3 linked regions of the Daphnia pulex genome follow. The protein of the gene in region 2 purifies or fractionates together with the protein of the main gene of each other region. This does not show direct contact. Links are inferred from orthologs where the notes say so. Each region holds a gene or a part of one and is shown on either strand. Other genes may lie near its edges.

Region 1 (2,816 bases), on a different chromosome or scaffold from region 2:
CCCATATTACATAAAGTATCTAGTAAACAGGGTATTGGTTAGAGTACAAATGGAGAAACTTATGAATGTGAATAAAACCTTTGAAGGATGGATTCTCATTGCATAAACAAGTCAACAAGAATGAAGCCTTGATTTTCAGTTTCCCGAGTGATGATTGCAGTGCTCTCAGTAAAGACGAGAAACCATCACAATGCACAAATGCATCCTGGGCTTCTGCACATTCTCTTGTCAAACCTATAATCAATCAATTGTTAACTGAATTCCCTTAGTGTGAGTTGTAAATCTGCTCATTACATGAAATGGCGTACAGGGCTTTGATTCTCGCCTCTTCACAGTCATCGTTTTCCAGCATTTTAAGCAAAATTGGCAATAGGTCTTCGTTGAGCACATGCTGTTGGCAGTATGGGTTGTTCTGGGTGAGGGTGCCAATCAACTGACAGCACCTCCAACGAACTCCATCGTGGGGAGAATTCAAACAGGGGATGAGGATGAAAAATCCTCCTATCTTGTGAAAGTCTGGAGAAACAAGCGAAACAAGTGTCAATGTTTTATTCAATCAATAAAAAAAGATATCTCATACCATTAGCCGTGTCCATGGAATCGGCAAAGTCAGTAATCATTTCCAATGCTTCCTCCATCTCCTGGGGATCTTCTTCAGGACTTTCGACTCGATCTGGATTGAGGATATTTAACGATTTTGATATTTCGGCTACAACGTCGACTGACAATCCTCTTAGAGCTTCTTCTAACCAGCGTCTCCTTTCTTCACTCATCGATGTGGTTGTGGTACGATCTTCAGCTGCGGTGCCTTCGATGGCAAATCTTAAAAGTCCTTGCATATCTCTTGGTTGTCGTGGGGGTTCCATTGTTTTGCTAAGGATCTCAACAACAACTTGTTATATATTTATGAAGAATAAGACGCAGTACGCAAGTTAAACCGTGAACGCATGGGGCAAGCAGACGTCAATGAAACTGTTTACTAGCAAAATCAAGAAGAGTCTGGAATAAAAAGAGCCATCTAGGCATGACTCGCATAACTTAAAAAATTTTGACATTTACAAAACAAACCTGTTAAGTTAATTAAGATTTGGATAAAATTCATTGAGATTTTAAAAAATTATTGAAAAAATCTGCGAAAGTGTGTCATATTTTTATTTGGTTTTTAATTGTAGTTTAACGCCGGAATGGGTTTCTAGCAAGTGACGTAACCTAGCGGCCGCCATAAGCATCTTTTCGAAAGTCACTCGCGTCAGGTTTGTTGTGTCAACGCACACTTTTTTTTAGAAAAAAACCACACCAATTTTAGTAATTTAAAACGCATAAAGTTTAGCCGGTTGATTGGCTGAATACAAGGACACTTAATTCGGAAGACACTGGGGTGAACGGTGTGATTGGTTCTCCCGAAATAATTCGTAGAAATGGCGGTTCCAAGCACATACCGAGACCAACATTTCAAAGTAAGCCTCATGAGTTGATAGCAGAATTGAAAATGTAACTTAATATACAGTTTTGAGGCAATTAATGTTTAAATGGAAATGCATACCTTAATAATTAAAAATATTTTGATATTTCAAGCCAAAATAACTGATTTCCATCTTTCAGGGTTCCCGGGTAGAGCAGGAGCGTCTGTTGAGTCAATCTTGCACCCTGTATGTTGGAAACTTGTCCTTTTACACAACTGAAGAACAGGTTAAATACTTCCAAGTCAACAATTGGTTCCATTTGATTTCATCTTTTCAAATATTTTAGATCCATGAATTGTTTGGGAAATGTGGCGATGTCAAGAGAATCATCATGGGATTGGACAAGTTTACTAGGACCCCTTGTGGATTTTGTTTTGTAGAGTAAGTCATTGCAACCAAATCCAATAACAAAATTGTGTTTAATTATTTCTAATTATCTTTCAAGGTTTTACCTGAGGAATGATTCAGAAAATGCCATCAGGTTTGTGAATGGGACAAGACTGGATGACAGAATTGTGAGAACTGACTGGGATGCTGGCTTCATTGAAGGAAGGCAATATGGCAGAGGCAAAACTGGAGGACAGGTCAGCATTTCGTCAGCTCAAACTTATTGTTCTCAACTAATGGATTTCTGTTTTGCAGGTGAGAGATGAATACCGAACTGACTTTGATGGTGGCAGAGGAGGATGGGGCAAAATGATTCAGCAGAAGGTGGCCACATCTGCTGCTGCTAACAATTGATAACATTTCTAAATACTGTATTCATTCATCTCTGTGTGTTTTTTTTTTTAACAAATGTCAACAAGTGTTATCCTCAATTAAAACAGACCATGCTGAATTGATTTCCTAAACAAAATCTTTTTTACCTGTGAAAGAAGACGTTTCTCGTCATGTTTCCATCTGCCAGTCCGGTTGGCCTGGATTTTATCGATCGAAAAGTGGGGACACTAGAATCTCTTGCCATGTGATCTGTCACTCCCAAAGCTTTTTCCTTTTCAAAGCGAAGCGGGTAGTTTCCCAGAAGAGCTTTTGCGGCCGCGTGATGCACGCCATCATCTACATGCAAAGAAATATTTGAATATTCAATTCCCAGTGGTCGTCTGCAACTTATAACGAATGTCACAATTGAATTTGTGTCAAATGTGAAGCTAATTCAATGATCATTGATCAATTAGATGATTTCCAAAATGGAAATGGTATCGATTTCTGATTGCTCGGTAGTTGTTTAGTTATTCCAAATTAAAACTAACTTATTTATCGTTCGAAGAAAGAATGTGCTTGACGTGACATTCAACGTGCATCTGAACTACCAGGAAAATTGTACTGAGTGAGTGTGTGTGTATCTGGTGTTGG
Region 2 (3,639 bases):
GGATCGACTAGTAACACCGTTTCCAGCTCCTATTTGATTATTACCAAGTATTCTCAATAAATTAGAAGTGCCGGAGCCAAAACGTATTAAATTATTAGTTGAAAAAGACATTGTTGACGAGGTGACAAATGATTTCATCACCCACCAACAAGCAACAACCGGGTGCTTCGAACTGTAGCAGACCAAAACTGTTTTCAAACAGAAAAAAGGAAATGTGGGGTACTGGGTTTCAGCAACCAAGTTTTCAGCTAGTTTCTAGCTTTTGTTCAGCTACTAGAGATACAACAAATCTAACTTTGTAATTGGAATTTGGAACGTCCTTCAAATACTGGTTTCGAATTGTCGCAAGTATTTTCAAAGTGAGTAAAAAAAATCAACATGCCTTATTATAAATACTGTGTCATAACTCATAAGTCAATAAGTCATAACTCATGAGCAAAAGGTTCATATATTACTTCAGATCTACGAGTAAAGTAGACGTCATTTTTAGACTCCAACAATGGAACAAGACAATTAATTAAACGGCCACAAGTTTCATATATTTAGTCCAAATCTTCGGGGATACAGAAAAAAAAAATCCAGCAAAATAAAAACATGACGCATCAACTTCTTTGTTTTCCTTTTTCCGAAATGGATTATAGATTAAATGAGGTCAGCCACTGAAATTGATTAAAAACAAACACATTTAGAAAGAGTTAAAAAAAAACATGCTAAAAATATTTTACCATTCATGGGCATTTCGTCAACCTGTGTAGCATAGTACTGTTCGATATCGCGGAGAATACGGATATCGTCATTCTTGACAAAGTTAATTGCAACACCTTTACGTCCGAATCGGCCAGAACGACCGATACGATGGATGTACAACTCACGGTTGTTAGGGAGATCGTAGTTAATGACCAACGAAACTTGTTGAACATCAATACCACGAGCCCAAACGTCAGTTGTAATAAGAACTCGGCTAGAATAAACGAATAATTGTTATTACTCTGAATGGTTATATGGTAGACGAAAATTTCAATACCTCTGACCATTACGGAATTCTTTCATAATAGTATCACGCTCTTTTTGAGGCATGTCTCCGTGCATTGAAGAAACGGTAAAATTCGCTTCACGCATTTTCTCCGTCAACCAGTCAACCTAAAATCAATCTAACTGTGTTACATCGAAATCAACAATAGAAGAGATTTAATCGTGACTAACCTTGCGTTTAGTATTACAAAAAATAACCGCCTGCGTGATTGTCAGTGTGTCGTACAGATCGCACAACGTGTCAAACTTCCATTCTTCTCTTTCGACAGCGACAAAGAACTGTTTGATTCCTTCGAGTGTCAACTCATCACTAAACCACATAAAATAATTAGTAATAAAAAACAAGCAGACTTTTAACAACGTTTACCGTTTGACTAAAATGCGAATGGGATCTGTCATGAATTTGCTGGTCATCTCCAAGATTTCATGAGGCAATGTGGCTGAAAGAAGAACCACCTTGAATAAAAGATTGATTTAATTGGTTTTTCTTATGAAATATCATAAAACATACTTGGGTTGCTGGAGGAAGGTAACGGTAGACATCGTAAATTTGCTCCTTGAACCCTTTATTTAACATTTCATCGGCTTCATCCAGGACCAACATTTTAATTGAACGTGTCCTTAGTGTACGTCGGCGAATCATATCTGTAGAGTTATCAAGACACTTATCATCAATCCAAACTTAACAAACAGAAATAGCAAAATATACCAAATACACGTCCAGGGGTTCCAGAAACAATGTGCTGACCGTAGTCCAATTTTCGAACATCCTCTCCAACATTAGTGCCGCCGATACACGCATGGCATTGAACATTCATGTAATCACCAAGAGCCAGAATAACCTAAACACAAGCTAAATGAAAACACTGTACTACAGAAAGTAATGCCATAACATACTTTCTGAATTTGAACTGCCAACTCTCGAGTGGGGCTTAGAACCAATATTTGAGTTTCTCTTGTTTGAATTTCAAGACTCTGAAGAATTGAAATTGAAAATGTGGCTGTTTTGCCAGTACCGGATTGGGCTTGGGCAATAACGTCTCTCCCCTTGATTACTGGGGCAATTGCTCTCTGCTGAATAGCTGATGGTTTTTCAAATCCTATAGAAACATTTAAAGCCAACCTCAACATTAAAAATCATGTAGGTTAAGGATAATGTGAATAATGGAGCAAGGTCTCAACAAGTGAAAGTCTCATTTGTACGTACCATAAGCGTAAATTCCTCTTAGCAGGTCTTCACGGAGGCCCATGCTGTCAAATGTGGGAATAACATTGACATCTTCACTCGTTTCAAATTCAATATTAGTTAAATCATCCGGCATCTGTTGGACAACACGTCTGCCTTTAGACTCCATTTTTTTAGAAATCAGAAGTGTGAAAAAGCACGATAGTTCGTGAATAATTAGTTTGCGTCCGTTCGGCAAGGGTGAAAGGATGCTATAGAATGAATGTTACAGACGTTAAAATCGCTTCAACATGGAGTCAACTGTGTTGCCAAATTTTCATACTCATGGTTTCAAAGCAAAAATTTACAACTTAAAAGTAATGATTCATGATCCACTAAAATTTGAAACTAATTTAATTTTTAATTTAATAAAAATCAATGAAAGTTGCTAAAAACCTTTTAAAGACCTGGCCTTTGTAATTTGTATATCGATATCGTGCATGAAAAGATTCAATTAAGCAGACGAACGAACACTGAAAATAATTTTCTCCCGATTCAAGAAAAATAAAAATCTAAAATGTTTACTTTGAAAAACGTTATTCAATCGGCTTTTCGATTGGCGAATTATTCACCAATTTCTAAAAATGTCGTTTCAGTCAAAGCAAAAATTTTGCTGCCTAGCACATCAAGGTTTTTTTCGGGTTCGTCAGAATCAACTTTTCGGTGTGTCCAATACCCTTCCATGAATGCTACCCCAAGTATATTATCATCTATTTCCCCATTGCTTCAAAATCTGTCATTGTAAGCAAGAATTTAAATTTTATTAAGCACACAAATTAAGCTTACTTTCTTGCAGAACTACTCCCTCTTTGCAGCAAACCCGATCAGTTACAAAATGGTCACTCAAAAAAGGGAAGCGCAAAACAGTTAAAGCTGTTGTTTCTAGGTTCTATCGTTTAGGATGGTAATATATTTTATTCATTCCTGGTTATTTATATTCATTATGTTTTCTTAGGGGTGCATGGATAAGGCCAATGGTGGGACACAGTAAACGTCACTGGAGCAAAACAGCAAAAAGGAAGATTCGGGGTGAAAAGCATGTATTTTGTAATGCTACCCAGTCAACTCTTCTTGACAAAATGGTAACGAAATACTGGAGAAAGAGACGGTTTTACGTTGATGACATGTACGAGTCGTATCATCAGCGAGAAGAGTATCCATCAAGTGCTGTTAAACCTCATTGAGGTCTATAATTAATACTAGTTCAAATACATTCAAATAATGGAAAAGGAAATTTATTGTATTTATTTCATTCCAATGTTAAAAAATATTGGTTGTACAAATATCTTAACCATATTTAACTTGAACTGAAATGTATTACTGAAGTGTTATCTTTGAGTACATGAACAGAAGAAATTTGAAAAACTGTTACATAATATCAG
Region 3 (3,072 bases), on a different chromosome or scaffold from region 2:
GGAGAAACTCGACAGGTAAGCATTCCATGTTCTTAGTCTTTTATTCTCCTTGCATAAATATTTTCTATTTTATCCAGGCACATGTTAAAAAACAAACAACATCTTCGATTTTGAGCATCACTTTCAACGAGTTATGGGGTATCAAAATCTTTCTTACTAATACGCGTTATCTTTCGAAAATTTGTTGGCACCTTCTGTAATGTCTTTAATTTTGATTTTGTGATACACGGACCTGTTCACATCCAATCAAAATACTAATCCAATTTTAAGGCTCTTTCTTATCCAATTGGTGTTAAAATTTTTTAAGGATTGTTGTTTTTGGTGATAGGCTGGAACTAAATGGCAGACGCCGAGGACACTTTTAAAGAATATATTCCTAGTGGTAAAGTGGATCTCACCAGCCTTCAGCTGAGTTGGAAATTGCTTACAGGATCATCAGAATTTCATTGGCAACACTGAGAAGACGAAGACAATGTTTCATAACTATGTAGTTGATTGCCAAACAAAAATATCAGTCATTTTTTTATGCACAACAGAGTTAGCTTGAATATTTAAAAGAAAGAACGCACTCGATGATTTCCCGTGAAACAAAGTGTATTCTGATCTTCTTTCCATCTGATTTTCTCCGTCAAGATGGAAAGAAAACGCACGATGTGAAATTGCTTCCTACAAAAGAGCGCTATTAAAGGGCTCGGCAACAGCAAAGTGAGAACATCCAGTAACCCAACACTAATCCTCGCGAAATGAATGGACAACTAAACTTGCATGTAAAAGCATAAGGTGAAGAAAGCTGAAGAGCGTGAAAGGAAACAGAGAAAGCATTGGTCGACTGGAGAGAAAACAAGTCAAGAGAAATAAACAATTCAAAAAAATCAGTTCACTAAGCTTCGAACGCGTTATCAACTGAGGGGCCTACAAAAGAAGCATTCTAATTTTGGGTGACGTTCTATCGAAAAAAAAACGTCGTTTGTCGAAGGGATTTTGTGTTGGCTTCCAACCCACTAGAAACAGACTTAGGTAGGGTCCACTATGTTGGATGGTATGGGTATAGCAGTTGTTTCCCGTATTTTTCGACATTAATTTGTTGAAGCCCATCAGCTCCGTTATCGGCTCGTTCGTCTGGACACCGCTCTCTTGCTTCAACGGCAGATTGCTAGTGCTGCTTATGGTGTGCGACGTTGAAGGCCATTTGATAGATGGGCATAGGTCTTTCGAGCTGTCAGTTGATGAACGTTGGATTTCCCCTTTTCTCTTTTATCTTTAACTGCAAGATGAATTCAAATACGGTCGGCTGCCGCCAGGCGTCGTCATCGTCAATTTTCTTAGGGTCTTTTTTATTACTGCAACGCCTTACAGTTTTCAGTATGGCTAAGAAAAGGTCGGCATTAGATTGAAAACAACAGGCTCAATCAAAGAGTAAGACAAATTCGCTTCATCAACCTACCTGCGTGAATTGAGAGCCATGGCGGAAGAAGGCTGAACGGCCCCCTTGATACGTCGAGTCTTGAGAGAGCAGTCCATCCATTTGCGACTGATAATCTGATGACATATAGGCGTCTTGTGACGGATCTAACTGGGATAGACCCGATTGCGATAGTGCTCCGAAGCCCGAGACCGTCTGCGACATCCCCTACAAGAACATTTAAAATGGATAAGCATACCTTCGCGACCCTTTCAACTTGGCATTATTTAGTACCTGTGACATTCCTTGGGTGAGAGCCATGCCACCCTGGCTGAAAGGCTGCGTTGATACATCCTGTGTATTCTGCGAAAGTGACTGTGTAAACAGCGAAGAACTTCCCTTGCTTGCGGCTTTGCCAGCGCGAGGCCCACTTCCTCGGGCATTGTCTTTTGGCCTCTGATTGGATTTGGATGAACCATGCATCCCTTGTTGCTGCTGGCCGTGGAATCTAGGCGGGACGTGCGTCATGTTCATAAAGACACCCAAGGGAACGGGCATAGCAGAAAGAGCGGCCTGTGCCCTCTCTGGAGCAATGTAACCGATTGGATCGTGCAAACGGCTGTACGGATCTCCAACATTGGCCGTGGCTCGAGGTATGTAAGTATTCATACCATTGTTGTTTGGTGGTTGACCCCCACCCGAACGATCATAGACGGAACCAGGAACCATGGCCTTTAAATGATAAGATTATTTTAAAATAGAATACAAGATCCTTGACAGACAAGCACTACATAATTTGAAATAATTCTTTTGTGAATACGAACATACCTGGCGTGCGTCGTAGACGGCTGTGGACATGAAATGCTGACCAGGATTAAAACTATTAATTGGTTTCTTTGGCTTGGGAAACTGCATCATGGATTCTTTGAGGTTGTTGAGAGCTCCCTCAGTTAGAACATGATTTTCTTTGTAAAAGTGAAGCAGGTGATTCCATACAGGCTGCTTGGCCAACACTTTAGGATTGCCTACAATAATGATTCCGTAACGGGCGCGAGTCATAGCAACGTTCAAACGACGGGGATCGTTGAGAAAACCGATTCCTTGGTTCTCGTTTGAGCGAACACACGACATGATGATGAGGTCTTTCTCGCGACCCTGGAAAGCATCTACACTAGCTATTTCGATATCCTTCAAAAACAAAATACAAATTTAAAGATTTCGTAAAAGGTTTTGAAATATGAATTCCCTTACTTGGTATAATTTAGCATGTAGTGATCCTTGATGTTGCATGTACTGTACAAGATAAGCTCTTTGTCCTTCGTACGGTGTGATGATGCCAATTTGTTCTGGTTTGACTCCGGATCGAAGAAAACGTGTAGCAATCTTTTCCACATTTGACGCTTCCGTTCTGTTCAAATAGGACGTACCCGATCCAGCAATTTCCTCCTGACCCAATGTAACGTAGAAGAACATGGGCCTATCTGGCATTGGCCAAGGGAAATCTACCCCGCGAAGGATTCGGTCTTCCGCGCAAACACCATTCTGTAGTGATCCCTCGTAAAAGAAGTTGGAAGGAAACTCGGACAACCTTGGGTGCATACGGTACTGTACTTCCAAACGGAAGGGCCGGATGCCAAGTACTACCAGTCTTTCAAACAGTGATTGCGAGA

Evidence for each region.
Region 1: the proteins of eukaryotic initiation factor 4A-III (region 2) and nuclear cap-binding protein subunit 2-like purify together in Homo sapiens (co-immunoprecipitation; 3 studies listed by BioGRID and IntAct, with this or other methods). This does not show direct contact. The link is inferred for Daphnia pulex from reciprocal best matches to the Homo sapiens genes EIF4A3 and NCBP2.
Region 3: the proteins of eukaryotic initiation factor 4A-III (region 2) and regulator of nonsense transcripts 1-like purify together in Homo sapiens (co-immunoprecipitation; 8 studies listed by BioGRID and IntAct, with this or other methods). This does not show direct contact. The link is inferred for Daphnia pulex from reciprocal best matches to the Homo sapiens genes EIF4A3 and UPF1.

What each region holds. Positions count from the first base shown.
Region 1 is NC_060026.1:16,276,684-16,279,499, forward strand, and holds nuclear cap-binding protein subunit 2-like, read left to right. Parts: upstream 1-1,222; 5' UTR 1,223-1,418; coding exon 1,419-1,457; intron 1,458-1,602; coding exon 1,603-1,689; intron 1,690-1,749; coding exon 1,750-1,844; intron 1,845-1,908; coding exon 1,909-2,047; intron 2,048-2,105; coding exon 2,106-2,204; 3' UTR 2,205-2,301; downstream 2,302-2,816. Other genes in the region: hsp70-binding protein 1-like, read right to left, coding at 1-19, 79-234, 295-516, 581-866. UniProt on the Homo sapiens protein: Component of the cap-binding complex (CBC), which binds co-transcriptionally to the 5' cap of pre-mRNAs and is involved in various processes such as pre-mRNA splicing, translation regulation, nonsense-mediated mRNA decay, RNA-mediated gene silencing (RNAi) by microRNAs (miRNAs) and mRNA export.
Region 2 is NC_060018.1:3,384,285-3,387,923, forward strand, and holds eukaryotic initiation factor 4A-III, read right to left. Parts: upstream 2,518-3,639; 5' UTR 2,388-2,517; coding exon 2,240-2,387; intron 2,133-2,239; coding exon 1,930-2,132; intron 1,875-1,929; coding exon 1,742-1,874; intron 1,678-1,741; coding exon 1,544-1,677; intron 1,489-1,543; coding exon 1,400-1,488; intron 1,343-1,399; coding exon 1,204-1,342; intron 1,141-1,203; coding exon 1,025-1,140; intron 962-1,024; coding exon 726-961; intron 660-725; coding exon 643-659; 3' UTR 518-642; downstream 1-517. Other genes in the region: ATP synthase mitochondrial F1 complex assembly factor 2-like, read right to left, coding at 1-138; 39S ribosomal protein L35, mitochondrial-like, read left to right, coding at 2,775-2,998, 3,054-3,161, 3,213-3,441. UniProt on the Homo sapiens protein: ATP-dependent RNA helicase. Involved in pre-mRNA splicing as component of the spliceosome. Core component of the splicing-dependent multiprotein exon junction complex (EJC) deposited at splice junctions on mRNAs.
Region 3 is NC_060017.1:7,852,828-7,855,899, forward strand, and holds the end of regulator of nonsense transcripts 1-like, read right to left. Parts: coding exon 2,654-3,072; intron 2,591-2,653; coding exon 2,231-2,590; intron 2,135-2,230; coding exon 1,697-2,134; intron 1,631-1,696; coding exon 1,445-1,630; intron 1,369-1,444; coding exon 1,360-1,368; 3' UTR 577-1,359; downstream 1-576. Other genes in the region: parafibromin-like, read left to right, coding at 1-15, 78-114. UniProt on the Homo sapiens protein: RNA-dependent helicase required for nonsense-mediated decay (NMD) of aberrant mRNAs containing premature stop codons and modulates the expression level of normal mRNAs.